Linked DNA regions of Saccharomyces cerevisiae S288C. The protein of the gene in region 1 interacts with the protein of each later gene in a biochemical or structural test. Each region holds a gene or a part of one and is shown on either strand. Other genes may lie near its edges. The genes, in order: PRK1, GPH1, CMR2 and VAS1.

Evidence for each region.
Region 2: of the proteins of PRK1 (region 1) and GPH1, one has a biochemical effect on the other in vitro, tested with the Saccharomyces cerevisiae proteins (one study listed by BioGRID).
Region 3: of the proteins of PRK1 (region 1) and CMR2, one has a biochemical effect on the other in vitro, tested with the Saccharomyces cerevisiae proteins (one study listed by BioGRID).
Region 4: of the proteins of PRK1 (region 1) and VAS1, one has a biochemical effect on the other in vitro, tested with the Saccharomyces cerevisiae proteins (one study listed by BioGRID).

Annotation. Positions count from the first base shown.
Region 1 is NC_001141.2:180,103-187,101, forward strand, and holds PRK1 (serine/threonine protein kinase PRK1), read left to right. Parts: upstream 1-3,834; coding exon 3,835-6,267; downstream 6,268-6,999. Other genes in the region: FMC1 (Fmc1p), read right to left, coding at 1-137; glucose-induced degradation complex subunit FYV10, read left to right, coding at 325-1,875; BMT5 (25S rRNA (uracil2634-N3)-methyltransferase), read right to left, coding at 2,015-3,025; LYS12 (homoisocitrate dehydrogenase), read right to left, coding at 6,415-6,999. UniProt on the Saccharomyces cerevisiae protein: Protein kinase involved in the regulation of actin cytoskeleton organization and endocytosis. Phosphorylates PAN1 which disrupts the interaction between PAN1 and END3, and between PAN1 and SLA1. Phosphorylates SCD5.
Region 2 is NC_001148.4:858,667-865,832, reverse strand, and holds GPH1 (glycogen phosphorylase), read right to left. Parts: upstream 4,528-7,166; coding exon 1,819-4,527; downstream 1-1,818. Other genes in the region: cyclin-dependent serine/threonine protein kinase SGV1, read left to right, coding at 1-1,384; YPR159C-A (uncharacterized protein), read left to right, coding at 5,418-5,519; beta-glucan synthesis-associated protein KRE6, read right to left, coding at 6,088-7,166. UniProt on the Saccharomyces cerevisiae protein: Phosphorylase is an important allosteric enzyme in carbohydrate metabolism. Enzymes from different sources differ in their regulatory mechanisms and in their natural substrates. However, all known phosphorylases share catalytic and structural properties.
Region 3 is NC_001147.6:496,008-505,101, forward strand, and holds CMR2 (Cmr2p), read right to left. Parts: upstream 6,446-9,094; coding exon 1,499-6,445; downstream 1-1,498. Other genes in the region: putative ATPase ECM3, read left to right, coding at 1-961; Arf family GTPase ARF3, read left to right, coding at 6,788-7,339; ribose-5-phosphate isomerase RKI1, read right to left, coding at 7,545-8,321. UniProt on the Saccharomyces cerevisiae protein: Homeostatic regulator of a chemically distinct subset of diacylglycerols (DAGs) with C36 chain length that prevents the toxic accumulation of these specific DAGs in the logarithmic growth phase, which otherwise leads to endoplasmic reticulum stress.
Region 4 is NC_001139.9:669,668-677,271, forward strand, and holds VAS1 (valine--tRNA ligase), read left to right. Parts: upstream 1-2,518; coding exon 2,519-5,833; downstream 5,834-7,604. Other genes in the region: serine/threonine-protein kinase DBF2, read left to right, coding at 1-240; DRN1 (Drn1p), read left to right, coding at 721-2,244; exosome non-catalytic core subunit RRP46, read right to left, coding at 6,004-6,675; thiamine transporter TPC1, read left to right, coding at 6,954-7,604.

The DNA.
Region 1 (6,999 bases):
TGTTTCTTAGCATATTCCAACTTTGTTATCATTGCCTTTCGTAGATTGCCCCAATTGACTATCTTGCTTGGCCTTTCATATTTCAGAATGGCTCTTATGAGTCCTCTATATGTGCGTAATGTTCTTGGTCTATCCATTTCCCTGGCACTCTCTCTTTCTCTCTCTTTTCAGCTTTTTGTTATCCACTTATCGCTGCAAATGAAACTCTAGTGCAATTTGAGATATTCACTTTTTGCAAAGGCGAAGAGAAGGGGGTGGTTAAATCTACAATTTCATACATAAAACAGAGAAAATGATTATAAATTATAGGAAAGTAGGTAAGCCATGGCAGAGAAATCAATATTTAATGAGCCTGATGTGGATTTCCATTTGAAATTAAATCAACAATTATTTCATATTCCTTATGAACTACTGTCCAAACGTATCAAGCATACTCAAGCGGTAATTAATAAGGAAACCAAATCACTACATGAACACACGGCCGCATTAAATCAAATATTTGAACATAATGACGTTGAGCACGACGAGTTGGCACTAGCAAAAATAACTGAAATGATTAGGAAAGTTGACCATATAGAAAGATTTTTAAATACGCAAATCAAGTCCTACTGTCAGATTTTGAACAGAATTAAAAAAAGGCTGGAGTTTTTCCACGAACTGAAGGACATCAAGTCACAAAATTCAGGAACATCGCACAATGGAAATAATGAGGGTACCAGGACTAAATTGATACAGTGGTATCAGAGTTATACAAACATTTTAATTGGTGATTATCTGACGAGGAATAACCCGATTAAATACAACTCGGAGACAAAGGATCATTGGAACTCTGGCGTAGTGTTTTTGAAACAGAGCCAACTGGATGATCTCATTGATTATGATGTCCTCTTGGAGGCTAATAGAATTTCGACTTCGTTACTACATGAGCGTAATCTCTTACCCCTAATTTCATGGATAAACGAGAACAAAAAGACACTGACCAAAAAGTCCTCTATATTAGAGTTTCAAGCAAGATTGCAAGAATATATTGAACTACTAAAGGTGGATAACTATACCGACGCTATAGTATGTTTTCAAAGATTCCTTTTACCATTCGTTAAGAGCAACTTCACCGATTTAAAATTAGCATCTGGACTTCTGATTTTTATCAAATACTGTAATGATCAAAAGCCAACTTCTTCTACCAGCTCTGGATTCGATACTGAAGAGATTAAGTCTCAAAGTTTACCAATGAAGAAAGATCGAATATTTCAACATTTTTTTCACAAATCTTTACCTAGAATTACCTCCAAACCTGCGGTGAATACAACAGACTATGACAAGAGTTCCTTAATAAATTTACAAAGTGGAGATTTCGAAAGATATCTGAATTTATTAGATGATCAAAGATGGTCGGTATTAAATGATTTATTCTTGAGCGACTTTTATTCCATGTATGGCATATCACAAAATGACCCTTTATTGATATACCTGTCACTAGGTATATCGTCTTTGAAGACAAGAGATTGCCTGCACCCTTCTGACGATGAAAATGGAAATCAAGAGACGGAAACTGCCACAACAGCAGAGAAAGAAGTTGAAGATTTACAACTCTTTACGCTACATTCACTAAAAAGGAAAAATTGTCCCGTTTGCAGTGAGACTTTCAAACCAATAACACAGGCATTACCATTTGCTCATCACATTCAGTCTCAATTATTTGAAAATCCAATACTATTACCAAATGGAAATGTTTACGACAGTAAAAAATTGAAGAAATTGGCCAAAACATTGAAAAAGCAAAACTTAATTTCTTTAAATCCAGGTCAAATTATGGATCCAGTTGACATGAAAATATTTTGCGAATCAGATTCTATCAAAATGTACCCAACCTGAAATAGTTTCAAGCTATATGCATTTTTTTATATAAAGATTTGTCCAACTTTCACAACTATTTTACAGATACTTACGCTATATAAGAATTAGGGAAAATGAAAGTTCTTTCATCAACATGGCGACATTCTTCCTTCTGTACTTAGTCTGAATCAGAATCTGTGTCTTTTTTGCTTTTACGGTTATGTTTTGAACTATTCGAGACATATTTACTAAAGATGTAGAACCTAGCATCACGTTCTTTCGCAGGTTTTGTAGTATCTTGTTCGCTATTCGTTCTCCGGTGATGATATCCTGGAAAATTTTCCCATTGGAATTTGCTCGATCTGCTCAGAGTTAGTCCATTTTTTTTGGCTAAAAGTTTGATTTGCCATGAATCATAGGGCTCTCCATCGAAAAGGGACAGTATGATGTTACCATAACCTTCGGCGGTCAATTTTTTAGCCTGGGGAGTATCCTCATTAAGATCATAGCCTTGCGTATAACGAAGAGTATCATTTTGAATTTTCGTGTTTATAAGATTAAATAATTGTAAGGAATTTTGGAAAAAGTTAAAAATTAAGTCCTGATGCTCTCTAATATTTCTTTCTTGATCCTTAATACCTTTTCCATTATGGGGAAAATTGAAAACTATATTTTGTAAAGGTTTGTTACCCCAACGATGATCGCTAAGCCTGTTGATTATTTTAAACCAAGTATTATTTTTGGAAATTTTAAAGCTCTTTACGAGCTTCGTAACGTCAATCTGGAAAAATATCGGAATATTTAGATCTTTTAAGTACTGGTAATTTTCCTCAAAAGTATGCGGATATTTCAATTTCAGCTCATTCACAGAATTATCGTAACTTGTTATGATTAAATTGTCACTTTCAATATAGTTTTGTTCAACAATGGATCTGGCAAAAGAAAAATCTCCTTCACCACATAGCATCAAAGTTTCATCCTTCTCAAAGGGCATAACCTTCCCTTGATTAAGTTTTTGGAATTCTTGGTTTCTCTTCACGGTTTTGTTATTAGCGCTCGAATTTTTCTTTCTTAGTTCATGTTTTTGCTTACTTTCAATATTCCTCACTAATTTCACTTTGGCCTTGTGCCTTAATAATGCACCTTTTAGGCCTTTACTCCCAATCTTACCCTTCAATTTCCTGGCCATTGATAATTTTAGGTTATGATTGGTGTTAATCTATGATTTTAACGTTACTAAACGTTGTCAGGCTCCAATGAATTTAAGTAATGGAAGGTTTTCTTTTAAGCTCATCGCATCGCCAATTCTTTTCTTTTTTTTTTTTTTTTTCCGAATAATTTACATTCTTTCTACAGGAGAAAAATATGGGAGCCAGCTTGAAATACTAAAATCATTAATAATACTGATGTACATGATCCAATAACAAGATCAACTACGACTTTTGTTATTACTGATTCAGAAGGAAAAAAAAATTGACTTCCAAGAAGTCATAAAAATAAGTGGTCTCTAGCGGGATCGAACCGCTGATCCCCGCGTTATTAGCACGGTGCCTTAACCAACTGGGCCAAGAGACCAGGAATTTGTTGAAGTATTTCATGTAAATTTAATATTAGTACTGATAGAGATTTCCGATATATATGATCGCTCTCAATTATTTTATATCAAGTAAATGTCAATGTCGTTAGTTTGCACTAGCTGTTACTATTTATTCTTAGTAAAGGTTTTTAAAAAAAACTGTAATTATAACCAGGCAGGCGTATGCAGAGCGAAGGTCTTGGAAAAAGAAAAATATAGAACAGTACATTTAGGAAACGCTAAAAAAGTCACCAAGCAGGCAGGTCACAGGCTCCACTTGAACATAAGTTAGTTCGCTAATACAGGTTGAATTTCCATTGTGGGATAGTTTATTATCTTCAGCGAAAAAAATCTTTTTTGATTGAAGTGTTGATCAAGATTATTTGTAACCTCCTATCTTTAGTTGAACTGATCCAAAAACAATGAATACTCCACAGATTAGTCTGTATGAACCCGGGACAATATTAACTGTGGGATCTCATCATGCTAAGATTATCAAATACCTTACGAGTGGTGGATTCGCACAAGTATATACTGCCGAAATTTCCCCTCCTGACCCATATAGCAATGCTAACATAGCATGCTTGAAAAGAGTCATTGTCCCCCATAAACAGGGTTTAAATACCTTGAGAGCTGAAGTGGATGCTATGAAACTCCTTAGAAATAATAAGCATGTTGTTTCTTACATAGATTCACATGCTGCAAGGTCTGTAAATGGTATAGCATATGAGGTGTTTGTGTTAATGGAATTTTGTGAACGTGGAGGTCTTATAGATTTTATGAACACCAGATTACAAAATAGATTACAAGAATCTGAAATATTAGAAATTATGAGTCAAACCGTCCAAGGTATAACTGCAATGCACGCTCTGCAGCCGCCATTGATTCATAGAGATATTAAGATTGAGAATGTACTTATTTCTCATGATGGCTTGTATAAAGTTTGTGATTTTGGTTCCGTTTCCGGTGTGATAAGGCCACCTAGAAATACTCAAGAGTTTAATTATGTTCAACACGACATCCTAACAAATACTACAGCTCAGTATAGATCACCTGAAATGATTGACCTGTACAGAGGGTTACCTATCGACGAAAAATCTGATATTTGGGCTCTTGGTGTCTTTCTTTACAAAATATGTTACTATACTACGCCGTTTGAAAAAAGTGGTGAAGCCGGTATACTACATGCAAGGTATCAATATCCATCCTTTCCGCAGTATAGTGACAGGTTGAAAAATTTGATACGTCTTATGTTAATGGAAGCACCATCTCAGAGGCCAAATATTTGTCAAGTTTTAGAGGAGGTTTCCAGGTTACAGAATAAGCCTTGCCCGATTAGAAATTTTTACTTGTTAAGAGCAATGAATCAGAATGCGAATACCCAATTGGCCGGTGAACCGTCTTCGACAACTTATGTTCCAACACAGAAATTTATTCCCGTACAAAGCCTTCAGAGCATCAACCAGCCACCAAATATGATGCCTGTAACTCACGTCAGTACTACTCCTAATTTGGGTACTTTCCCTATATCTATTAATGATAATAACAAGACAGAAGTAACGGCGCATGCTGGCTTACAGGTTGGAAGCCATTCAAATTTGACTAGTCCCTTAATGAAAACAAAATCCGTTCCACTTTCTGATGAATTTGCATCACTATATTATAAAGAGCTACACCCTTTTCAAAAGTCTCAGACTTTCAAATCAGTAGAAAGTTTCCAATCCCCACAAAGGAAGTCTATGCCTCCATTATCGCTTACTCCTGTTAATAATGACATTTTTGATAGAGTTTCGGCAATAAATCGTCCAAATAACTACGTTGATTCTGAGACGCAAACTATAGATAACATGGCTGTGCCAAACTTAAAACTATCTCCCACCATTACAAGCAAATCACTAAGCTCCACAAAAGAAATTGCTGCTCCAGATAATATAAATGGAAGCAAGATTGTGCGTTCACTAAGCTCTAAGTTAAAAAAGGTTATTACTGGTGAATCTCGCGGCAATTCTCCGATTAAATCAAGGCAAAATACTGGTGATAGTATCAGATCAGCATTTGGTAAGCTTCGTCATGGGTTTACAGGAAACTCAGTGAACAATAGCAGGTCTGCTTCCTTTGATAATAACAATGTCAACGGCAATGGTAACAATACAAACAGGCGATTAGTTTCGTCTTCAACCTCCTCCTTTCCTAAATTTAATTCTGATACCAAAAGAAAAGAGGAATCAGACAAGAATCAGAGACTGGAAAAACGTCGCAGTATGCCTCCTTCAATTTTATCAGATTTTGACCAGCATGAGAGGAATAACTCGAGAACTGGATCAAGGGACTATTACAGGTCTCATTCTCCAGTGAAGAAAACTCAAGCATCAGCTAAAACGACATCAAAGCCTACTTTGATACCAGATAATGGCAACGTTAATATAAATCAAGAAAAGAAGGAATCAATTCAAAGAAGAGTGCATAACTTACTAAAGAGTTCTGATGATCCGGTAACGTATAAATCCGCATCCGGGTATGGTAAATATACAGATATTGGTACAGAAACTTCCAATCGACATTCAAGTGTAAGAATAACACCAATCACAGAAGAAAAGTTTAAGAAAACCCTTAAGGATGGTGTTTTGGACATCAAAACGAAAAGCAACGGTAAAGATAAATCAAGACCACCACGTCCACCACCAAAACCACTACATTTAAGGACAGAAATTCAGAAGATAAGAAACTTTAGTCGTTTACAATCAAAGAAACTGCCGATTGAAAGAATTTCCAGCGAAGCCACAGAAACTATTGTTGATGTTAACGTAGATGATTTAGAAGCCGATTTTAGAAAAAGGTTTCCCAGCAAAGTTTAAAACTTGCTCTCACACATAATAGACTATGTAATATTAAAAGTCATACAAAATGTACAAATTTTCTTTCGTCAATCATTTGAAATTTTTTGAAATATATCTTGTCACTCATTCATTTATTTATTCGTTTCTATTTTCCTATTATATGCTCTATAATCTCGACAAAACGTCGTCAACGACTTGTTGAGTAGAAGCCTTACCACCTAAATCTGGTGTCTTGATAGAACCCTCTCTTAAGTTAGCATCAACAGCCTTGTAGATATCTTGGGCAGCTTCGTTGTGGCCCAAGAATTCCAACATCAAAGCAGTAGATCTTATAGTGGCGATTGGGTTAGCAATACCTTTACCAGCAATATCTGGTGCAGAACCATGGCATGGTTCACCAATGACAATTTCTGGACCTACGTTGGCGCTTGGAACAACACCTAATGAACCGACTAAAGCAGCAGCACCGTCAGATAATATATCCCCGTATAGGTTTGGTGCCACTATCACATCAAAACATTGTGGTTCTCTGAACAGCCTATAAACCATGGAATCCACAATTTGTTCGTTATATTTGATTTGACCGTACTTGTCCTTGTTAGATTCGTAGACTTCCTTACAGATTTCTCTGAATAGACCATCACTTTGAGATAGAACATTTGATTTATGAGTCACTGTCAAAGTGGCTTGGCCTCTTGTTTGTAATCTTTTCAAGGCAATATCTAATGCAATGGTTGCAATTCTTCTTGT
Region 2 (7,166 bases), on another chromosome or scaffold:
GACAGCAAATATTTTGATTGACCACAACGGTGTTTTAAAGCTTGCTGATTTTGGTTTAGCAAGATTATATTATGGCTGTCCTCCAAACTTAAAGTATCCTGGTGGTGCAGGTTCCGGCGCCAAATATACATCAGTAGTCGTAACGAGATGGTATAGAGCACCTGAGTTGGTGCTTGGTGATAAACAGTATACAACAGCTGTTGATATATGGGGTGTCGGATGCGTTTTCGCAGAATTTTTTGAGAAAAAACCTATTTTACAGGGAAAAACGGATATTGATCAGGGACATGTTATTTTCAAACTACTTGGTACACCGACAGAAGAAGATTGGGCCGTGGCTAGATATTTGCCAGGTGCTGAACTAACAACAACTAATTACAAGCCAACGTTGAGGGAAAGATTTGGTAAATATCTAAGTGAAACAGGTCTAGATTTTTTAGGACAGTTGTTAGCGTTAGATCCTTACAAGAGGTTGACCGCTATGTCTGCTAAACACCATCCTTGGTTTAAAGAGGACCCTTTACCATCAGAGAAGATAACATTACCGACGGAAGAAAGTCATGAAGCTGATATTAAGAGGTACAAGGAAGAAATGCACCAATCATTGTCCCAAAGAGTACCTACTGCGCCAAGAGGTCATATAGTTGAAAAGGGTGAATCACCTGTCGTGAAAAATCTTGGGGCGATCCCAAGAGGCCCCAAGAAAGATGACGCAAGTTTTTTGCCTCCATCAAAGAACGTATTGGCTAAGCCGCCTCCTTCGAAAATAAGAGAACTACATCAAAATCCTAGACCGTATCATGTGAACAGCGGATATGCTAAAACTGCGATTCCACCGCCAGCAGCCCCTGCAGGAGTTAATAGATACGGACCCAACAATAGTTCCAGAAATAATCGCTTCAGCGGCAACAGCACTGCACCCAACAACAGCAGGAATCCCGTAAATCGATTTCATCCTGAGACAAATGTCAGCTCTAAATATAATAAAGTACCTTTGCCATTGGGGCCTCAGTCAAGATACCAGGGTAATTCAAATGAGTCCCGGTACAAAAACTCGCCAAATGACTCTAGATATCATAACCCTAGGTACGTGAACAAGCCGGAAACCAACTTCAATAGGCAACCACAGAAATATAGTCGCCAAGAATCCAATGCGCCAATCAATAAAAATTATAATCCTTCAAACGGTTCTCGCAATATGGCTGGTGATCATCATCAAGGCTCGAGACCTTCTCATCCACAATTCCCAATCTCGCCCTCACAGGGGCAGCATCAGCTTACGAGTAAACCAATAGAGAAAAAAAATGGAAGCTTTAAGGATGAAAGAGCGAAACCAGATGAGTCTAAGGAGTTCCAAAATAGTGATATTGCAGATCTATATTAGGTTATACTATTCTCTCTTCCTTTCTGGCCTCGTGGCTAATTACGGAAAGTTGTATACTGACTACTATGTAATCTATCACGTTTTGTCACTGTCTCGCTCTTTTCAAACAATCCATAAAATCGAAACTATTGTCAAAACGTCAGTACATCCTACCTGATAGGGACTGTACCAATGTCAACGTTCGAGTAAGTGATAATAAGGACCGCCTTACCCACCTTCAGGACACTCGGTTTTACACAAGCGTTATCCTGCGCGGATTTTCAATATGAAAACAACTAAGTTTTCCTGTAACATCATATATACCATTTAAAAGAGTGCCAAAAAACCGATAACGATTATTTTAAAGGCGTTTTATATAAGAGAAGAAGTAAAGAGAAAAAAGCGCTTACTAGAAATGGGGAGAAGGGTGCCAAAGAGATAAAAAAAACTCCCAGCTAAGTCACTGGTTCAACGTTCCAAATGGTATCGGAGTATTCCTCGATACAACGATCACTGCTAAAGAAGCCGACGTTTGCAACGCTCAGGACACTCTTTTTTAACCATTCTGACCTTTGATTGTGGAACTCCTGGTCCACTAATTCATGGGTGGCCAGATAGGATTCAAAGTCATCACTGACCAGGTAATAATCGCCGTGGTACTTAATACTGTCGACTAAAGGTTTGAATTCATTTGGATTTTCTGGAGAAAATTGTCCACTTTCAATGTAGGATAAAACAGAATCCAAACTAGATGGTAAATCTTGTGGATGGTATTGATGGTTGTATCTCAATTCTTCGACATTTTCACTTAGGTTACCAAACAAGAAGACATTATCTTCACCAATTTCCCTTGTGATTTCCACATTGGCACCATCAACAGTACCAATAATCAAACCACCGTTCATAACAAACTTCATATTAGAAGTACCAGACGCTTCAGTACCAGCAGTAGAAATATGCTCACTCAAGTCACTTGCTGGAATAATGATTTCAGCCTTAGAAACATTATAATCAGCAACAAAGACAACCTTCAACAAATGCTCAATTGACTCGTCGTTATTAACAATGTCAGCAACACAGTTGATCAATTTTATGATCAGCTTAGCCATGTAGTAACCAGGAGCACTCTTACCACCAAAGATTGAAACCTTGCGTGGATATTTCTTGGCAACTTCTTCGATCGAAGCACCGTTCTTCAGCATATTCTTCATTGCCAGGTAACGGTATATAATACCAAAGACGTTTAGCTGTTGACGCTTATATTCATGAATACGTTTAACTTGCATATCAAACAAGGTGTCGTCCAAATACTCTCTGTTAATGATGTCTACTCCATCATTTTCCTTTTTGATTAAATCTACTAATCTGATCTTATTATTAAGCTTGACTTGGTTCCATTTTTTCAAAAACTCCTTATCTTCAACATATTTTCCCAACTGGGTCAGTTTGGCCATGTCCAACAAATACTCCTCTGTTGGATCGTTAAGGGTTTCACTGATCAGTTTAGCCAATGAAGGGTTAGCTTGCTTCAACCATCTCCTTGGTGTGATACCGTTAGTGACATTGACAAACTTTGATGGACCATAGAACTTGACAAAATCTTTAAATATGGTCGTTTTGATTAATTCAGAGTGCAATTCAGCAACACCATTAACCTTGTGTGAACCAACAATAGCCAAAAAGGCCATTCTGATCTGTCTTTCTGGAGAGTTTTCTTCGATGATGGATATACGAGACAAAAGATCAACATCCTTGGGGAATTTTTTGGCCACATCTTGCAAGAAGAACCAGTTGATATCATATATAATTTCCAAATGTCTGGGTAGCAAATGGCCAAAGAGGCCGACGGGCCATTTTTCCAGGGCCTCTTGCATAACAGTGTGGTTAGTATAAGCAAAAGTCTTGGTCACGATGTCCCAAGCCTCGTGCCAATCTAGTTTTTCTAGATCGACCAAAACTCTCTGTAATTCAACGATGGCTAAAGTTGGATGAGTATCATTCAACTGAATAGCCACTTGGTCAGGAAATTCAGTCCATGGCCTCTTGGATTTTTTGAATCTTCTTAAGATGTCGTGTAAGGATGCAGCACACCAGAAGTACTGCTGTTTCAACCTCAACTCCTTACCTTGAGCAAAGTTATCGTTTGGATACAACACAGCGGTTATAGACTCTGCGCGTTGTTGCTGAGCCACAGAGTTTTTATAGTCACCATTATTGAATTTTGCAAAATCAAATTCTGTTGTTGGCCTTGCTTGCCATAGTCTTAAGTTATTTACATTGGAAGTCTTGAAACCCGGAACTGGGAAATCATACGCGACAGCAAGAACTCTTTCCCCACCGATCCATTGTGACGCACTCAGTGTAGTTTTACCGCCTTCTGGTCTATCAACATAACCATAAAAGGTGACAGGAATTTGCACTTCGTTACGTTCAATTTCCCATGGATTACCAGAATTTAACCAGTAATCTGGAGTTTCCACCTGGTAACCGTCAATAATCTTTTGAGCAAAGATACCATACTCATAACGTAGACCATAACCCCAGGCAGGGATGCCTTCCGTTGCCATTGAGTCGACGAAGCAAGCTGCAAGACGACCTAGACCACCATTACCTAAACCTGCGTCCGGTTCTTGGTCCAAGACATCCTCTAACTTGAAACCTAAATCATCCAAAGCCCCTTTAATCATTTCTCTTGGTTTTCCCTTTGAGGCAGCAGGGTCTTCCGGATCTTCAATCTTCATATTAATCAGGGCATTATCCAAAGCCCTACCCATCAAAAACTCCAAAGACAAATAGTAAACTCTCTTTGGGTCTCTTGTGGTGAATTTCTGCTGAGTTTTGTTCCAGTCAATGACCAAATTGTCACGAATACTCATCGAAGCAGCTTCATAAGCAGCCATGTCATCACAATTATATAGGGAACGTGCTAATGTAGTTTCCACATGGTCAATGAATCTATCTTGAAAATCTTCTGCCTTGTTAAATTTTTTGACTTGATGCTTATTCCATAACGCTCTTGACTTTAAAGGAATCATCGTGTCAATTGACTTGATTTCTTGGGGAAGAAACCCCGTAAGTCTCCTTGTAAGCCTTGGGATTTGGTGTGGAGAAGTAGGTTCTTCGGTTATCATATCATTGGTAGTACTAGTACTAGCTGGCGGCATTGTTCAAAATTAAATTAAGTTGAAAGCTGCTTTACTGAAATTGTAATGTAGAGAAGTCAAAAAAGATCCAATTGTTTTTCTTTTGGATATTTTTAGTAATCGTTACCTTCTCAATCTGTGCTTACTTTATATTACAATAGCAAGCAGAAAAAACTTATAATACTTCGTACGTAATCAAAACAAAAGGTACAACAAGAAACGGGAAGGCACAAAGAATCTTGCTTTACTGCTATACAAACTTCATGCTCCTTTTATACATATAATATATTCGTCGGTGTTCCTTCCTTATCTTTGTAGCATGCACATGGTAGTTATTAACCTCCCCTGAAACTTTTTTAGCGAAAATTATCCACCCCTTACTTATTTCCTCGAGAGTCTCTAAAAAGTAAAAATACAATAACGGTAATTGGGGAAGGCGTTCCTTGTTAATTCAAAATGTTATCCTTGAAACATAGAAGGTGCTGGCTGCATCTCGCAGAGCTTCCTCTTCCGTTGAGCGTTGTATTCTTCCCCCCACAGTGCTACTAGGCGATGCCGCTACCCCTTGAAGGGCCTTCCCGCTGTGGGGCAGCGGCCTTTTTTCCTTAGTGGGAAACAAGCACCGGGGTATATTTCATTGTCTATCAGGAGAAGAGATCGTATACAAATGTTCGTGAGACGGTTTCATCTTGACTAGTTGCCTTGCTAGTCGGATAACTAGTGGAAAGCAGTAGGACACTCCCGATGAGTTTGCGTTTCCACGGGGTTTGACAGAGCTACCTATTGTCTTTTTCATCGAAGGAAACGGTAGTTGGACCTTGCCTTGGATAAGTTGGTGAATCATCCAGAGCTTTAGAAGGGAGCAAAAAATAAAATCTGCGCAAGCCCGGAATCGAACCGGGGGCCCAACGATGGCAACGTTGGATTTTACCACTAAACCACTTGCGCTTGTTATTTACATGAGTGTGGTACTTCTATTGATGGTAGGTGTTCCATTACTTTTTTCGTCTTAAGATGAGCGAGCAAACACAGGGAGAAAATAAAGCGCAATTATTTACCTCATAGGGTACACAATATCCGTGAGAAAAGGATGAATTTGAAATAATTATACAGACTCCTTTTTTTTCAACGTAAAATTATAAGCATAGATTAGAGGCGCTCCTGGATAATAATAGGAACACACACAAGTAAATCAGCAATTTCTCATATCGTACTTATTCGGTAGAGTTAATAATATTCTACTAAAATAACTACTGGTAAGTAGTGAGAGCTTGATTTTTGTACTAATAACTTGTTTCAAAAAAAAAAACGAATAATCAGTTTTACAAAAATGTGTATACCTATATAAACAATCTTAGAGGTAAAGTTCTCCCTCACTAAAAATAATAAAAAATTACGTGCAGATGAGAACCCCGTCTTACCTTAGTATACCTTTAGTTCCCTTTATGACCCGATTTGAACGATAAGTCTTTTATATTTTATTTCTTCCTAAAAGAAAAATGTATGCATTGTAAGTAACTTTTTATGACCATGGTAATAATTAAAGCCGAGGGCTTGTAGATTTACCATCAAAATACCCGCTTAAGAGGATAACTTGAACTTCGAGCTAGTACATTTACCAGTTAGGATATTCTTAGGGAACGTGTAACCAGCATCTTCCCAAGTAGTTAAGTTTGCATTCTGGAATGCATTTAAGTGCGATTGAATATAATCATATGTTGGATAGTCACTTGGATCGCATGTCACGGATATAGCATTACTTGGTTGGTATATTCTAACATAGTCAATCGACATAACCACTGGGAAGAAAATATACTGCCAATCAATATAAGCCCAATTGTTGGAAATACCCAGATTTAGAATAATCGACATTGGTTCTTTACTGATTCTTCTCCAACCAATATTACCATCAGGATGTAAGGCTTTAGCATGAATAGTATAAGTTGGAGTATCACCAACAAACCAACGGATATAACCATTGTCGTCATCGTTCAGATACTCAATGGCATATTTTTGAAAGTAGCCACCGTACTCACCGAATTCATACCAAGTTACGTTCAAAGTTGAGACAGCAGATACGGCTTGTTGAAATGGACCGCCAGCATAAGTGTTCATGGTCGTTGTTGTGAAATTGTAAACCTCGATAAAATCATAGTCAGGCATGTACCAGATATCAAAAGGTGCAATTTGCAAGGATTGAGAGGCTATACCTACACCAATCTTAGTATCAGTTTCACCTTCCAAAACATCAATTTCTGGAGCTCCTCTACCAACACCTTGATTCGGATGATCTTCACCATCACAAGTACAAATACTTAACTTTTGTCCCGGCAAGTAAGAAATACCATCCGGGGAACTTTGGTTGGGTGTAATACCAGCATCACACGATTCATAAGAATAAGGCCAGACACCTTGGGTACTAGCCAAATAACCGGGCCTCCCTAAATTACCCATAGTCCAAAGACCGGGCCACAAACCTGAAACACGGCCATAATTTGGTAGATTTGCAGAGATTTCTAGAGCACCCTGCGTGAAACAAACCTTATTCCAACTCTGCAACATACCTGATCTGTAATATAAGCCATGGTTCTTAAAGGCATCCATTCTCAGCTGCAAGGTTCCGTTCACAGTTGTGGAAGCGTCTGGACTGTACCATTCTA
Region 3 (9,094 bases), on another chromosome or scaffold:
AGCATACACTACCGAGTCAAGAACATCACATGTTCATAATAACCGCAGGAATTCCATCACTGGCTCCTTACGTTCCATCGATATGCGTGAACTACCCGCGGAAGGCATGTCGGATTTAATTCGTGAATACTCCAATGTTGATCAATACGGTAGAAGAAGGAAAAGTTCTATCAGCTCCCAAGGAGCACCCTCTGTTTTGCAGGCAGACGGTACTATTTCTCCAAATTTGACTAGAACCTCCACTTTACAAAGAGTCAAAACTTCCAACCTAACAAGAATAATCACCTCAGATGCCACTGTTAGTAAGAAAGATATTGAGACTTCCGGTTCCTCTTTACCAAAATGGCTACAGAAATTTCCCTTAACAAAATTTTTCGTCTTTTTTCTAAAAAATTGTCTAAGGCCTTGTTCCATGGCTGTTATCCTGGCTTTGATTATCGCTTTTATTCCCTGGGTAAAAGCCCTTTTCGTTACGACCAGTAATACACCAAAAATCAAACAAGCCCCAGATAATGCACCTGCTCTAACTTTCATTATGGATTTTACATCTTATGTTGGAGCCGCTTCAGTTCCCTTCGGTTTGATTCTTTTAGGCGCTACTCTTGGTAGATTGAAAATTGGAAAATTATACCCTGGTTTCTGGAAATCCGCAGTGGTATTAGTCTTTCTCAGACAATGTATCATGCCGATCTTTGGTGTCTTGTGGTGTGACCGTCTAGTGAAAGCGGGATGGCTAAATTGGGAAAACGACAAGATGTTATTGTTTGTTACCGCCATTACTTGGAACTTACCAACAATGACCACCTTAATCTACTTCACTGCAAGTTATACCCCTGAGGACGAAACTGAACCCGTTCAAATGGAATGTACCTCTTTCTTTTTGATGCTTCAATATCCTTTGATGGTCGTTAGTTTACCATTTTTGGTGTCTTATTTCATCAAAGTTCAAATGAAATTATAAAGTTCGTTAAGGAAGAAACAAGATCTATTCATGCATTCCCATTCTCATTCTCATAATTTCATTTCATCGTACAACTGAATCAGGGTGTAATTTTATAGTTGTTTGTTGGTCTTTTTTTATCAACGTAGAATTCACTTATTTCAGATTTTATAGAGTTTCATAGTATAAAAATAATAATGAAAACAAAACTTCATGCTTTTTCTTCTGTTTATACAATTTCACTTTTGATTGTTATTCAAAAAAATAACATTTAGTCGCAGCTTCTCAGTGTTACTAATCTTTTTCTTCTTTTTTCGAACATAAGATTTTCTGATGGAACGAAAAAAGGTGATCTTTTAATTATTTGTGAATCATAAATATCCTTTTCATTAATTTTTAAGTGGTATAGCGTATTTACATATAAAACATACATGATTATTTCATGTTTATAATCAAAAATTATAAATAATTATTTAATCTCTAATATAGATTAATTAGAGTCTTTCCACAACTCAGTAGCATCCAATAGTCATGACAAATTTACTGTACTTGGATGTGTTAAATATTGTCCTTTTCATAATCTGATAATAAATAAATGGAAATATTTTCACCATAGTTTATGCCAAATTGTGCTTCTATTTGAATTTTCTGATCAAACCAGGCTTGCATTATCGATGCTCTATTTTTCGCCCAAACTTCCATTATCATACTAGAATTTTTTGGGCTTATACCTTTAGTTCTCACAAATGTGCATAAATCTAAAATGACACCATGCTTATTTAACAACTCTGAAACAATTAAAGTCGTTAGATTACCCAAGATGGGATTATGTCGTTCCTTACACCTAATTAAGCACACTAATAATCCACCTGCTTTGGCAATCAAACAACTACCAATGTCACTGTGAACATCTTTAACGGTTCTCTCCAAATCACTAACAAAATGTGTCAATCCTAGAATTTCAATGGATTCATGAATACTTCCCAAAACAAACAACAAGTTCAAATTGACGACCTCTCCCTGTGAATTCGTGCAACTTACGTTTTTGATAAAGCCCAGATCACCAGTTCTCAAATAGCTTAAAGTGTTATTCACTTCGCTCTTCATCTTACTTTTGAATTGTTCTGTGATAAAGGGATCTTTGTACAACTTGTTTTTTGAACTGTTACACACAAAGTAGTCGAATGCATTAGCTTCCGAACAGCACCAAATCTCACCGAATTCTCCATCAACACATGGTAGGAGTGTCTCTGGATTAACTACTGAAACGTCAGTACATACAGGAACAACACCAGAATCTTGAATCTTGATATAGTTTCCAGCACTTACATCATTGGGGTTGACTTCTCTAATTATACCTTCCCTCAGTGAAAATGGGTCTAAATATAGGTCAACCGGAGGAATATCCAGATACGACCTTAATGATATAAGCGGATTGAAGTGATGTTGATAGACATAACTTATTTGTGTACATGATAGGGATATGGTTGAGTACCGTTTTAAAATATTTTCAATTGTATAAATCCTTGGTCTATTAGGAAAAGGTATCATGATATTTCGAACACCCTTGAAAACATCTTCTCTAAGCGAGCCAGATGTATTGTTTTTGGCAGAGTTTATATTCTCCTTCTTATTTTTGAATCCCTCAATCAAACTAGAGGCTCTATCCAGTAAAGCATATAACGTTTCAAGCTTCAAATATAAATCTTTTACGTTTAAATTTTGAAGGCCAATTAAAAACTCCTTAGGGTCAGTAAGAACATCAGTAAGGCTGAATAAGCAAGTTGAAGCACCCGTATAAATTCCTAACAAACAGCTGAACATAAAGCCCAATCCAGATGTATGAGAACATATAGAGAAAAGTGGACTATTATTTCTTAACTGCAAAGTTTCTTTGACTATTTTGCTTGCATTCAGTAAAGACGAATGTGTCATTGTTACGTGAATATTAGATGTTACATCATACTCTGTATTTACCCATACAACACACGGTGTCATACCAATCCTAGTACCTGGTTTGGCCCCAAATTTCTGCTTTAACACATTCTTAAACATAGATACTGTTAACGCATTCTTTGTCTTGACTTTTGAGAAAACTGTAATCTTGGGTATCAAACTTTTGTATTTCTTAAAACATTTGTTTACGACATTATTATCATTCAACAATGAGTGCAATTTAGCATCAACAAATACTCTTTTCACTTTGTAACTTTGAATAATATTAACCAAGCCTTTTAGGTCCTCTTCTATGACAGACTCCTTAACGCTTGGTAGGGGAATTACCAATAAGTTACAGTACAGGCAGGCCATGATCATCGCTACGTATTCAACCGAATTTTCACACATAATAATAATAGGGTCACCATGCTTCAATGGAATTTTAGAACCTACGATTTTTTTCAAAAAGCCTGCGACAATTTTACCAAAACTTGCCCATGATACCTTTTTGTGAACGTTATTATCGTTACTAGCTGAAGAGTTGACTAGGTTTGTGTTTGTACCATCACTGAACGCCGTTTCGTTCCCATAATTAGAAATTCTCCATTCCAGAATCTCTAAAATCGATTTGAAGTCTGTGAGTTTTGTATGGCTTCGAGTGTCAACAGACTCATCTCTGTAATCAACACCACTGCATTGTAGGGCAAGTTTTGGTTTAACGGGACCGCCATTACGATATGCTGGTTCGATCATAGCGTATTCTTCTTGTAAAGCCATCTTTCTCAATTTTGATAAATGCTCGGATAATATACTCTCATTATAGTACGCTGAATGGGGCAAAAAATCCAATATGACATTATCGAATTGAAACTTTACAAACTGTGCACTGAGATCATTGTTTAAAAACTTCTTCTCTACCGTGCTATTGGCCAATTCCAGAGAACAATATCTCCTAGGTAAAGTATCTCTCGGCACAACTAAAATGCACATTGGTTGGATTTTATGAAAAATCCAAAGAATTCTAAAAATTTGGTCAGTTAAATCATTCATTTTCGTTTCTAATTTGTTCCTCTGTGTTTCTGCAAATTTCATTAAGGTAGTATCTGTTGTTTCGCCATTTTTACTCTCTTCTTCGGTTTTTGCTAGGGAGCTTTCTACCACCATAACTAAAAAGTGCTCTTCTTTATGGTGTTGTAATTCAAATGCAGCAACCTCAAAAACTGTATTTACTGTCCTCACAACTGTTTCAGTAATCTGTTGTAGATAGTGGGATTCAACAACTCTTTTGTATCCCGAAGATGTTTCGCCACTTAAACTCGAAATATCAATAGCCTTAGTGCTTTCTGCTCCAGTGTTACCTTTAGGTTGAGCAGATTGATTCCCTTTTTTGGCATAAAGAAGGTTTGATGTGTGAGCCCAGTTAGGTAATCTGATTAATCTATTCTGTAAAAACATATCTTCTATGAGTGAAAGCACGTATATCTTTCCGTTATGAACAAACCCCATAAGCTTGGTTCTCATAAAGTAGGTATTTGCAGGACAAATATTCAGAATGGTATCCAATTGTTCAGTAACTGCTTGCGATTTTTCGTTAGTAGGCATTTCATACTTTGCCCAAGAAAACATTTCGGAGTAATTTAGTTTTGCTTTGAACACAAATTCGTTCACTTTATCCATCTGGTAAAATTCGTCGGTGATGTGGTTAGAAGAGATCCATATTTCTCCAACAGTGAGGTCTTGCACCAACGTATTCGTATCTGGATTAACCACACATAAAGTGATATCAGGAATTGGGAAGCCAAATGTTTCTAATTTAAGATAATCTTTGAAGGAGCTTGATGAATTAATCATAGCAGTTATGCTACATTCAACCTCATTAAGCTTCAATTTCTCGCGGTTTATAAACAATTCATTTTGAAGCCTTAGTTTTGAATTATGTATTGGAAAGTTCTCTAGGTTTCCTAATTGATCTCTTATAGATATAAAGATACCACCAAAGTCCAATAACGTTAACATGGGAGAATAACAAAATGGTGCATCAATACATCCTAAATTTTTCAGCCATTTATGAACAACCATCTCGCTTACATCGGTATCTATAGTGGTACATGAGGTTAAACATGACTTGATGCAACTGAAATCTATTTTGTGCTTCTTGGAAAAAGCTGATTCGGGATTTTCCAAATAATTAATAACTACCTGCTTCAATTGTAGCTGATCATTCAGTAAAATGTCGGCTCTAAATTTATCAATGATATTTTCATAGCCCCCAGGTCGTTGTAATATACTACTATCGATAGATATCATAAGATTACCAGTAAAAAGATTGAAAAGCACACCCATTATCAAACCAGTAGATCTAGTAGGGTCCAGACTATTCAAGATAACAAACCTTGAGTTGGTTGCCATAATTTTTTTGTGAAATGGCTTCCTGATGCTTTGTGATTTTTGTTTCCAGTGAGGCATTGATCGTGAGTTTAGAATTTTTGTCATCGTTTCAAATTGGTTTATTAAGATGTTATGCTTCATGACGACGCCAGAAAGACGACCTAGCGGTGTTCTAGTAAACTCTATATATGAAATATTCGGTATATCAAAGGTAGGCGAAGTTTTTTTTGCCTTTGTGTACGTCCCTAAGTCATCAGTCTTGACAAATTTGATTTGCTGGAAAACATCGTTCTTAACCAGTTTAACTTTTGAATGATTTGATGACGAATACAAGTTATCTAATTGTCTATGACATGCGTTAGAAATCAGAACAAATTTCGAATTTGTTACTTTAATTATCTCAAGGATCTCACGCAGAGAATACGTTTCGAATGAGACTGGTACAGCTGCCATGCCGGATATGAAACAGCCTAATAATGCAATAGTAAATTCGATGACATCATTTTTATTGTACCATAGTAAAATCTTATCCATTTTGTAAAGGTGACTCTTATTCAATTCATGTGCTACCCTCTCCGCTTTCAAATAAAGTTTATCCCATGTGATGAACGTTTCTTTGCCTTTAGAATTTATGCTGATCATCGCTGTTTGACCATCATAATGTTCAAAGCGTCCCCGTAAAATTAGCGGTAAAGAATCCGTCATTGCTGAGTCTCCACTGCTAGTATTTTCGGCTCCAGTGTGTCTTGGTAGTAATGGTATCATAGGATTATAAACGGCATCCTTCACTGAACCGTTTTCATCACTGGAACCTGGCAATGACGATTGCAAAGAAGCTGTATATCTCTTGCTCCGCCTTCTGGGAGTATTGTTCGCAGAAGTCGAGTTTATAGTTGTGACACGATAGATAGAATGACGTCTGTCAATTGAATTAGGTAACGACGTAATGGATGATGCAAGACTTGTATTTCTTCTGTGCAAATGTTTCGACTTTCTCGAATTGGGAGATCGAAGCGGGGTATAAGGCCTCATTTGGGAGATTTCAAATTTGTCTAGCAATTGTTTTCTTTTGGTCTCATAACCCTTTCTTGTTAGATTTTCATCCTTATAGTCTTGAATTAACTCATTTAACCGACTTTGCAGATCTAGAGGTAAGGTAGGAGGAATAGAAAAATCCATTGGAGTAACTCAATGCCACACGCTTTTACACAGAACTGAATCACCCTAACACCAAGTTTACGGAAGCAAATGTTAAATCTGTTGAAGCTCTTTTGACTACATTATAAACAGAAATAAAACATACTAGAAAGTAATCGGGTTTTGACGATTTCATCCATTACCCGTCCGAATGATGGCACTTATAAGATAATGAAGATGTACGCAGCATTAAAACCCTATTTGCAGAAGCATAGTAAGACGCAACGTACGCTGAATTAGACTGAGACATTACAGTTGCTTTGACATTGGGAAGATAATTGGGATTTAGAACGGAAAAAAGGAAAAGACAAGCTAATTGTAGAGATGGGCAATTCAATTTCGAAGGTTCTGGGAAAACTATTTGGCTCGAAAGAAATGAAAATTTTGATGCTAGGCCTGGATAAGGCTGGTAAGACAACAATATTGTACAAACTAAAATTAAATAAAATAAAGACGTCTACTCCCACTGTCGGTTTTAACGTGGAAACCGTTACTTATAAAAACGTAAAATTCAACATGTGGGATGTAGGAGGACAACAAAGATTGAGACCTCTCTGGAGACATTATTTTCCAGCCACCACCGCACTTATCTTTGTGATAGATTCTAGTGCTAGAAACCGTATGGAAGAGGCCAAAGAAGAGTTATATAGTATCATAGGTGAGAAAGAGATGGAGAATGTAGTACTGCTGGTATGGGCAAACAAACAAGATTTGAAAGATGCAATGAAACCTCAAGAGGTTTCCGATTTTTTAGAACTGGAGAAAAATTTGAAAAACCAACCTTGGTGTGTCATCGGTAGTAACGCCTTATCCGGACAGGGTCTTGTTGAAGGATTATCCTGGATTTCGAACAACACAAACGTTCCAAAGAAATAAACATTGCATTTATTGGTGTTGAATCTGCATACACCGATTGTTCATCCTTCATTTTTACTGGATTGTACTTTACTAAAAAGAAAACTTCTGGAAAAAAAACAGTATCCAAATAACTAAATAGCTTTAATAATACAATATAAAAAATGGAGACACTGTTGTGAAAAGTCAACCTTTACTACGGTTTCTGTCTTTGCCTTTGATCTGCTCACTTTTCGGTAACTTCAACACTACCGTCAGAATTACCGAAGTAGGCTTTTGAAGCGTTGTCGATGAATAAACCTGTTTCCACCACGCCCACTAACAGTTTGATTTCTCTATGCAATTTTCTTGGATCGGAAATTTCACCGAAATCCGCATCGATAATGAAGTTATTATTGTCAGTTACAACAGGACCTGCTTTAGCAGAACCTCCTTGTCTGATGTCAACTTTTTCAGCATGCAATTGTTCTAATAGATCATTCTTGACCCTCACGTATGAGGAAGGTACAATTTCAATGGGAACACCTTGCCTCCAGTTCTTACCTAAATGTTTTGGTGACTTTTTTCTTGAATCAGCAACGACAATGAAGGTTTTAGCACTAGTACTAACCAATTTTTCTTGAAATAGACAAGCACCACCACCTTTAATTAATTGTAAATTCTCATCCACTTCATCAGCACCGTCAAACGCTATATCAATGCGAGGATACTGTTCAATGGAGCCTAATTGCAACTTGTTATCCAAAATCAAGTTTCTTGATTGGAATCCTGTTGGAATGCAAATGAATTTAGACGCTACTTCATAAAATTTAGGGTCATGCAAATATTGTCCAATTCTTTCGGCAACATAAACCACTGTGCTACCACTACCAATTCCAATAATTTTGTGATCATCAAATTTTAAATTTTCATCAACTGCTCTGTATGCTGCAGCTCTCTTGGCATCCTCCAAAGGATTGCCCAAAGATTCTAACGCATCAATTTTTGGGACACCGGCAGCCATTTCTTTCCTATGTTGTATTTATATGAGGTTGCAGTATGCGGTAACCAAGTTTATGTAACACGATGTTGTTAATTTTCTACAAGAGAAAAGAACGTCCCAGTACAAAGAGAATAAATTGCATGTAATAAATTGAAACAGTTTCACACTGCAACGCAAGCCGTACATATATTATATTATCCAAAGCGTACGTAAACTGACACCCAATTACGAACCAGATGAAATTTCACCGAGTTAATCGCTTTTCCCTCATCGCAAAAAAATTTTTCAACTCATCGCGACTTTTCACTGCCTCGGCCACAAGCAATCTGGGCCATGCCATTACTCCCATTAGCCCGAAAAAAAGAGGGGGTATGAAGCTAGTACATCATTATAACAAGTACTAAACTCAATTAATTCACTTACGAGACTTATACCAACGCTGGTTGATATACCACATTTGGCAGCATCCAAGGTTTCTCGTAAAATAGCTATAGTGTGGCGGACTTACCGGATGTCATTGTATAATCTTTTATAGAAAAAGGCTTTCTGAAATTTGAACATGACTAATTAACGCATATCAGGTGGGTAATCTTTCCGCAATACTATAACTTTGCTAGAAGTTATGTAAACGTTTTAGTTTACAAGAGAAAGTTTTGTGAACATTATCAGTGCCAAAACAGAAGCGGTATTACGATCGAAAATGCCAAATAAGACCGTCCGATGCCCCTTTCTTCTGCTACTCGTGATCTCACCGGCAGATAATGATTGAGTAATATCATGAATCTCTCCAAGAA
Region 4 (7,604 bases), on another chromosome or scaffold:
CCCCAACTAGACAGCGAAACTGATGCCGGTTATTTTGATGACTTCACCAGTGAGGCTGACATGGCCAAATATGCTGATGTTTTCAAAAGACAAGACAAATTAACGGCTATGGTAGATGACTCGGCAGTATCATCAAAACTTGTTGGGTTCACTTTCCGACATAGAAATGGTAAACAGGGTTCCAGTGGCATCTTATTCAACGGACTGGAACACTCAGACCCCTTTTCAACCTTTTACTAGCGTAAAAATGAATTCTTGTCTTGCATTCGCCGCGATATAATTAGCTTTAACGAGCTTCATGCAAACTTTTCAACTAGCACCTATGAACGCTTTTTTCATAAATATACATATATATATATATAGTTGTGCATTACTTAGGACTTCAAGCCCATTGTTTAAAATCTCAGTTCACGGTAACGGTCCATCCCATGACCGTTTTGAACTAAACTTAAGCATTCATGTTGGGAGCGGCGAAACTTGGTAATGTTTTACAGGAAAACAGCAATGACCACTATTAATCGAAAATCTGCAAAAAATGAAAAGGAATGGGTGTTAACATCAATTGTTTTTTCAATGATAATTACAAATTGGACTGATACTACATTGCTAGATGTACAAAAAACGCAAGGTAGCTCTCTTAGAAGGATCCATAATATATAAAAAAGGGCTTATGGTTTACTGATATCTTTTTCACTTCAAAAACTTACATATAAAAATAGGATGACAAATGCAAAGATTTTAGTAGCTCATATAAGTGAAAGCGATGCCGATGAGGCTATCAGAAAGATCAAGAAAGTGAATGAAAAATCAGGGCCCTTTGATCTAATAATTATATTCAGTAACTCGTATGATGAAAATTTTGAGCTGAATACTGATGGGTTACCTCAACTAATACTACTATCGTGTGATAAGGCTAACAATTCGAAATCCAAAAAGATAAATGAAAATGTAACATTGCTGCATAATATGGGTACTTATAAATTAGCAAATGGAATCACTCTTTCATATTTTATTTATCCGGATGATACTCTTCAAGGGGAGAAAAAAAGCATACTGGACGAATTTGGCAAAAGTGAGGATCAGGTAGACATTCTCCTTACAAAAGAATGGGGCCTTTCGATCTCTGAGAGATGTGGAAGGTTGTCTGGAAGTGAAGTTGTTGATGAATTGGCGAAAAAGTTACAAGCAAGGTACCATTTTGCCTTTTCAGATGAAATAAACTTTTACGAATTAGAGCCTTTCCAGTGGGAAAGAGAGCGCTTATCGAGGTTCCTCAATATTCCAAAATATGGATCTGGAAAGAAATGGGCCTATGCATTCAATATGCCAATAGGGGACAACGAACTAAAGGATGAACCTGAACCGCCCAACTTGATAGCTAACCCGTATAATAGCGTGGTTACAAACAGCAATAAAAGGCCACTAGAAACAGAAACAGAGAATTCGTTCGATGGAGACAAACAGGTACTTGCTAATAGAGAAAAGAATGAAAATAAAAAAATTCGAACGATTTTGCCGTCAAGTTGTCATTTCTGCTTTTCAAATCCAAACCTCGAGGATCATATGATAATATCAATCGGCAAACTAGTGTATTTAACCACAGCGAAGGGACCTTTAAGTGTTCCTAAGGGTGATATGGATATCTCAGGCCATTGCCTCATTATTCCCATTGAACATATTCCGAAATTAGATCCAAGCAAGAACGCAGAGTTGACACAGAGTATTTTGGCTTATGAAGCTAGTCTTGTGAAGATGAACTACATAAAATTTGATATGTGCACGATTGTCTTCGAAATACAGTCTGAACGTTCTATTCATTTCCACAAACAAGTTATTCCCGTTCCAAAATACCTCGTTCTAAAGTTCTGCAGTGCCTTAGATAGACAGGTTCATTTCAATAACGAAAAATTCACAAGAAATGCTAAGCTAGAGTTCCAATGTTACGATTCACACTCTTCCAAACAATATGTGGATGTAATTAACAACCAATCCAATAATTATTTACAATTTACCGTCTACGAGACTCCTGAAGCGGACCCAAAGATATATTTGGCCACATTTAATGCCAGTGAGACAATAGATCTGCAGTTTGGACGACGTGTACTAGCCTTTTTACTTAACTTGCCACGCAGGGTGAAATGGAATTCTTCAACCTGTTTACAAACTAAGCAACAAGAGACTATAGAGGCTGAAAAGTTTCAAAAGGCCTACAGGACCTATGACATTTCTCTCACAGAAAACTAAACTAAAACTATTTCATTTAGAATTTCAAATATATCCAAATATATGTATATATATGTAGAATACTAAGTCATGCTACCTCTGAACGTTTAAGAGACCTAGCAACTCAGAGGTGATGAATTAAAAGAAAAACCGGGTAAAGTTCTTCGAGAGACCGCGCTGAAAAAATTTTTTTAGAAGAGTCACCCATACAGCCTACTGGTGTTCTCTGTGTGTGCTACCACTGGCTGTCATCGTTGTTGTATGTCCTTCAGATTTATGGAATTACTTAGATGGTATGAATAAGTGGTTAAACACATTATCTAAGACATTCACTTTTCGGCTTTTGAACTGTCATTATAGGCGATCATTACCACTTTGTCAAAACTTTTCTCTGAAGAAGTCGTTAACTCATAATCAAGTCAGGTTCTTTAAAATGAGCGATCTTGATAATTTGCCTCCAGTTGACCCAAAGACTGGTGAGGTCATCATTAATCCGTTAAAGGAAGATGGCTCTCCAAAGACTCCTAAGGAAATTGAAAAAGAGAAGAAAAAGGCTGAAAAACTGTTAAAGTTCGCTGCCAAACAAGCTAAAAAAAATGCTGCTGCCACCACAGGTGCATCTCAAAAGAAACCTAAGAAAAAGAAGGAAGTTGAGCCAATCCCTGAATTTATTGACAAAACTGTTCCAGGTGAGAAAAAAATCTTAGTATCCTTGGATGATCCGGCTTTAAAAGCTTATAACCCTGCTAACGTTGAAAGTTCTTGGTATGACTGGTGGATCAAGACTGGTGTTTTTGAACCTGAGTTTACCGCTGATGGTAAGGTTAAACCAGAAGGTGTATTTTGCATTCCAGCACCTCCACCAAACGTCACTGGTGCCTTACATATTGGTCATGCTTTGACTATTGCTATCCAAGATTCTTTGATCAGATATAACAGAATGAAAGGTAAAACTGTCTTATTCTTGCCAGGTTTCGACCATGCTGGTATTGCTACTCAGTCCGTTGTGGAGAAGCAAATCTGGGCTAAGGACAGAAAGACTAGACATGACTATGGAAGAGAAGCTTTTGTTGGTAAGGTCTGGGAATGGAAAGAGGAATACCATAGCAGAATTAAGAACCAAATTCAAAAATTGGGGGCTTCTTATGATTGGAGCCGCGAAGCTTTCACTTTGAGTCCAGAATTGACCAAGTCTGTTGAAGAAGCTTTTGTTAGACTACATGATGAAGGTGTTATTTATCGTGCGTCCAGATTAGTTAATTGGTCTGTTAAATTGAATACCGCTATCTCTAATTTGGAAGTCGAAAATAAGGACGTTAAAAGTAGAACGCTTTTATCAGTCCCAGGCTATGATGAAAAGGTTGAATTTGGTGTTTTAACATCATTTGCTTATCCAGTTATCGGTAGCGATGAAAAACTGATCATTGCTACAACTAGACCTGAAACTATATTTGGTGATACTGCCGTTGCAGTTCATCCTGATGATGACCGTTACAAACACTTGCATGGTAAGTTCATCCAACATCCTTTCTTACCAAGAAAAATTCCAATTATCACCGACAAGGAAGCTGTTGACATGGAATTCGGTACTGGTGCCGTTAAGATCACTCCAGCCCATGACCAAAACGATTACAATACCGGTAAGCGTCACAATTTGGAATTCATCAATATTTTGACTGACGATGGTTTATTAAACGAGGAGTGTGGTCCAGAGTGGCAAGGCATGAAGAGGTTTGATGCCAGAAAGAAGGTCATTGAGCAGCTGAAGGAAAAGAACCTATACGTTGGCCAAGAAGATAATGAAATGACCATTCCAACTTGTTCCAGATCTGGTGACATTATTGAACCTTTATTGAAACCTCAATGGTGGGTTTCTCAAAGTGAAATGGCCAAAGATGCTATTAAGGTTGTTAGGGATGGTCAAATTACCATCACCCCCAAATCTTCTGAGGCTGAATATTTCCATTGGTTGGGTAACATCCAAGATTGGTGTATTTCCAGACAATTATGGTGGGGTCATCGTTGTCCAGTTTACTTTATTAATATCGAAGGCGAAGAACACGATAGAATTGATGGTGACTATTGGGTTGCTGGTAGGAGCATGGAGGAAGCTGAAAAGAAGGCTGCTGCCAAATACCCTAATTCCAAATTTACTCTGGAACAAGATGAAGATGTTTTAGACACCTGGTTCTCGTCCGGTTTGTGGCCTTTCTCCACTTTGGGTTGGCCAGAGAAGACTAAAGACATGGAAACTTTTTACCCCTTTTCTATGTTGGAAACTGGTTGGGATATTCTTTTCTTCTGGGTTACTAGAATGATTCTATTGGGCTTAAAATTGACCGGTTCAGTTCCATTCAAGGAAGTTTTCTGCCACTCTTTAGTCCGTGACGCTCAAGGTCGTAAGATGTCTAAATCTTTAGGTAATGTTATTGACCCACTAGACGTTATTACTGGTATTAAGTTGGATGATTTGCATGCAAAATTATTACAAGGTAACTTAGATCCAAGAGAAGTTGAAAAAGCTAAGATCGGTCAAAAGGAATCCTACCCTAACGGTATTCCTCAATGTGGTACCGATGCTATGAGGTTTGCATTATGTGCTTATACCACTGGTGGTCGTGATATTAACTTAGATATCTTACGTGTCGAAGGTTACAGAAAGTTCTGTAACAAAATCTACCAAGCTACCAAGTTTGCATTGATGAGACTCGGTGACGATTATCAACCACCTGCCACTGAAGGTCTATCAGGTAACGAATCCTTGGTTGAAAAATGGATCTTGCACAAGCTGACTGAAACCTCGAAAATTGTCAATGAAGCTCTAGATAAACGTGACTTCTTGACGTCCACTAGCAGTATTTACGAATTCTGGTATTTGATTTGTGATGTTTACATCGAGAACTCTAAATACTTGATTCAAGAAGGCTCTGCTATTGAAAAGAAGTCCGCAAAGGATACATTGTATATCTTGCTGGACAACGCTTTGAAATTAATCCATCCATTCATGCCATTCATTTCTGAAGAAATGTGGCAAAGACTTCCAAAGCGTTCCACTGAGAAGGCTGCCTCAATTGTAAAAGCTTCTTATCCAGTTTACGTATCTGAGTACGATGATGTCAAATCGGCCAATGCTTACGACTTGGTCTTGAACATTACCAAAGAAGCTCGTTCCTTGTTATCTGAGTACAATATTTTGAAGAATGGTAAGGTTTTCGTTGAATCTAACCACGAGGAATACTTCAAAACTGCTGAAGATCAGAAAGATTCTATTGTCTCGTTGATCAAGGCCATCGACGAAGTCACTGTTGTTCGTGATGCTTCCGAAATTCCAGAAGGTTGCGTATTGCAATCTGTTAACCCAGAAGTCAATGTACATCTTCTCGTCAAGGGACACGTTGATATTGATGCTGAAATTGCGAAAGTTCAAAAGAAACTTGAAAAGGCTAAAAAATCCAAGAACGGTATTGAACAAACCATTAACAGTAAGGATTACGAAACAAAGGCTAATACACAGGCCAAGGAAGCCAATAAAAGCAAGCTGGATAACACTGTTGCCGAAATCGAAGGTTTGGAAGCTACTATTGAAAACTTGAAGCGTTTGAAATTGTAGATTGAAGGTAGATAAAAATTAATGTAATATATATATATATATATGCTATGTATATGTAACAACGAAAATGTTAAGAATTTTAGAACATTGAATAATAACTATTTCCAAATATAAGAGGTAGTCTCCGGCATACGACATAGCATGTTGTGGTATATTATAATCTATAATGGCTATACAACTAGACGAGGTGATATATTGTCCTGTATTATTCTTCTTATATTTGTGACAAGTTCTTGACACTTTTGCTCACCCAGCTCCAGTAAACTGAACAATTGATCTTCATTAAAATCACCATTGCTGTCTAACAATAAAACGTTTTTCACGACTTTACCGCCATTGACGAACTCCAGAGCTAAAGTGTGGACAGAGAGCGAAATCTTCAATTGCTCGGCAGTGGGATCGACAATGATATCACTAGTGTCTTTGATTATTGCAATAGGGATGCTTGCGCACATACTATTTAAGGCAATTCCTGCATCAACTAAAGCCAAAAATGCCGCATTTATACAACAACTTAGCTCTCTCAGGGAGAATTCGGCTTCATCTTCACCAGATTCCAGAATTTGACAAGTTATCTGGCAGAGCTGTCTTGGGTAACAATGACGAGTGATGAGTGGGGTCAGAACTGCCCGTAATTTATCTTCGAGTACCTTCTCTCTTGTTGTGGCCACCCCTTTCGCGGGACGTACAATAATTTCTAATGCTAATTGTGTAGGCAGTTCTTGTCTTGCTTTTGGTTCAATAGGGCCTGTTACAGAACAAATAACCTTGGTGTCTTGTGATACGAATTCAGATGAACCATCTACATGATCTAATATCCCTATTTCTGCTTGGACGCTCATTTTTTTTTTTTTTTCAGCAGAATCTAATCTATTCTTGGTATTGGGCTCCTTGTTATTACCATATATGCAGAGATATTTTATGCATCTTAACTGGTTCATCTAACAAATTTTCCACTCTTTTTTCCACAATCCGATGCGCTTAAAAGGAAAAAAAAAGTAGTAAAAAGAAAAAGAGAGGTACATAATAGTCTTTATGAAGAAAAGGCGCTATTTTGTCACCTTTAACTTGGCATAGTCTGGAGCTTTATATAAACCATTCAAAGTACATAAATGTTGATATGTTCAAAGAGGAGGACTCGTTAAGAAAAGGGCAAAATGTGGCCGCGTGGAAAACTTTGTTGGCTGGCGCCGTATCCGGGCTGCTTGCCCGTAGCATAACTGCTCCCATGGATACCATTAAGATCAGATTGCAATTGACCCCTGCAAATGGGCTGAAGCCCTTCGGAAGTCAGGTCATGGAGGTGGCCAGAAGCATGATAAAGAACGAAGGCATCCGGTCCTTTTGGAAGGGTAACATACCCGGTTCTTTGCTGTACGTTACCTATGGCTCAGCGCAGTTTAGTTCATACTCCCTTTTTAATAGATATTTAACTCCATTTGGACTAGAGGCGCGCTTACATAGTCTTGTTGTCGGAGCCTTTGCTGGCATAACCAGTTCCATCGTTTCCTACCCGTTCGATGTTTTACGGACCCGACTAGTTGCCAACAACCAGATGCACTCAATGAGCATCACGAGAGAAGTGCGTGATATCTGGAAACTAGAAGGTCTCCCCGGATTTTTCAAGGGCTCCATCGCGTCAATGACAACCATAACTCTAACCGCATCTATAATGTTCGGAACATACGAAACAATCAGGATATACTGTGACGAAAACGAAAAAACGACCGCCGCGCATAAAAAATGGGAACTGGCTACTTTAAATCACAGC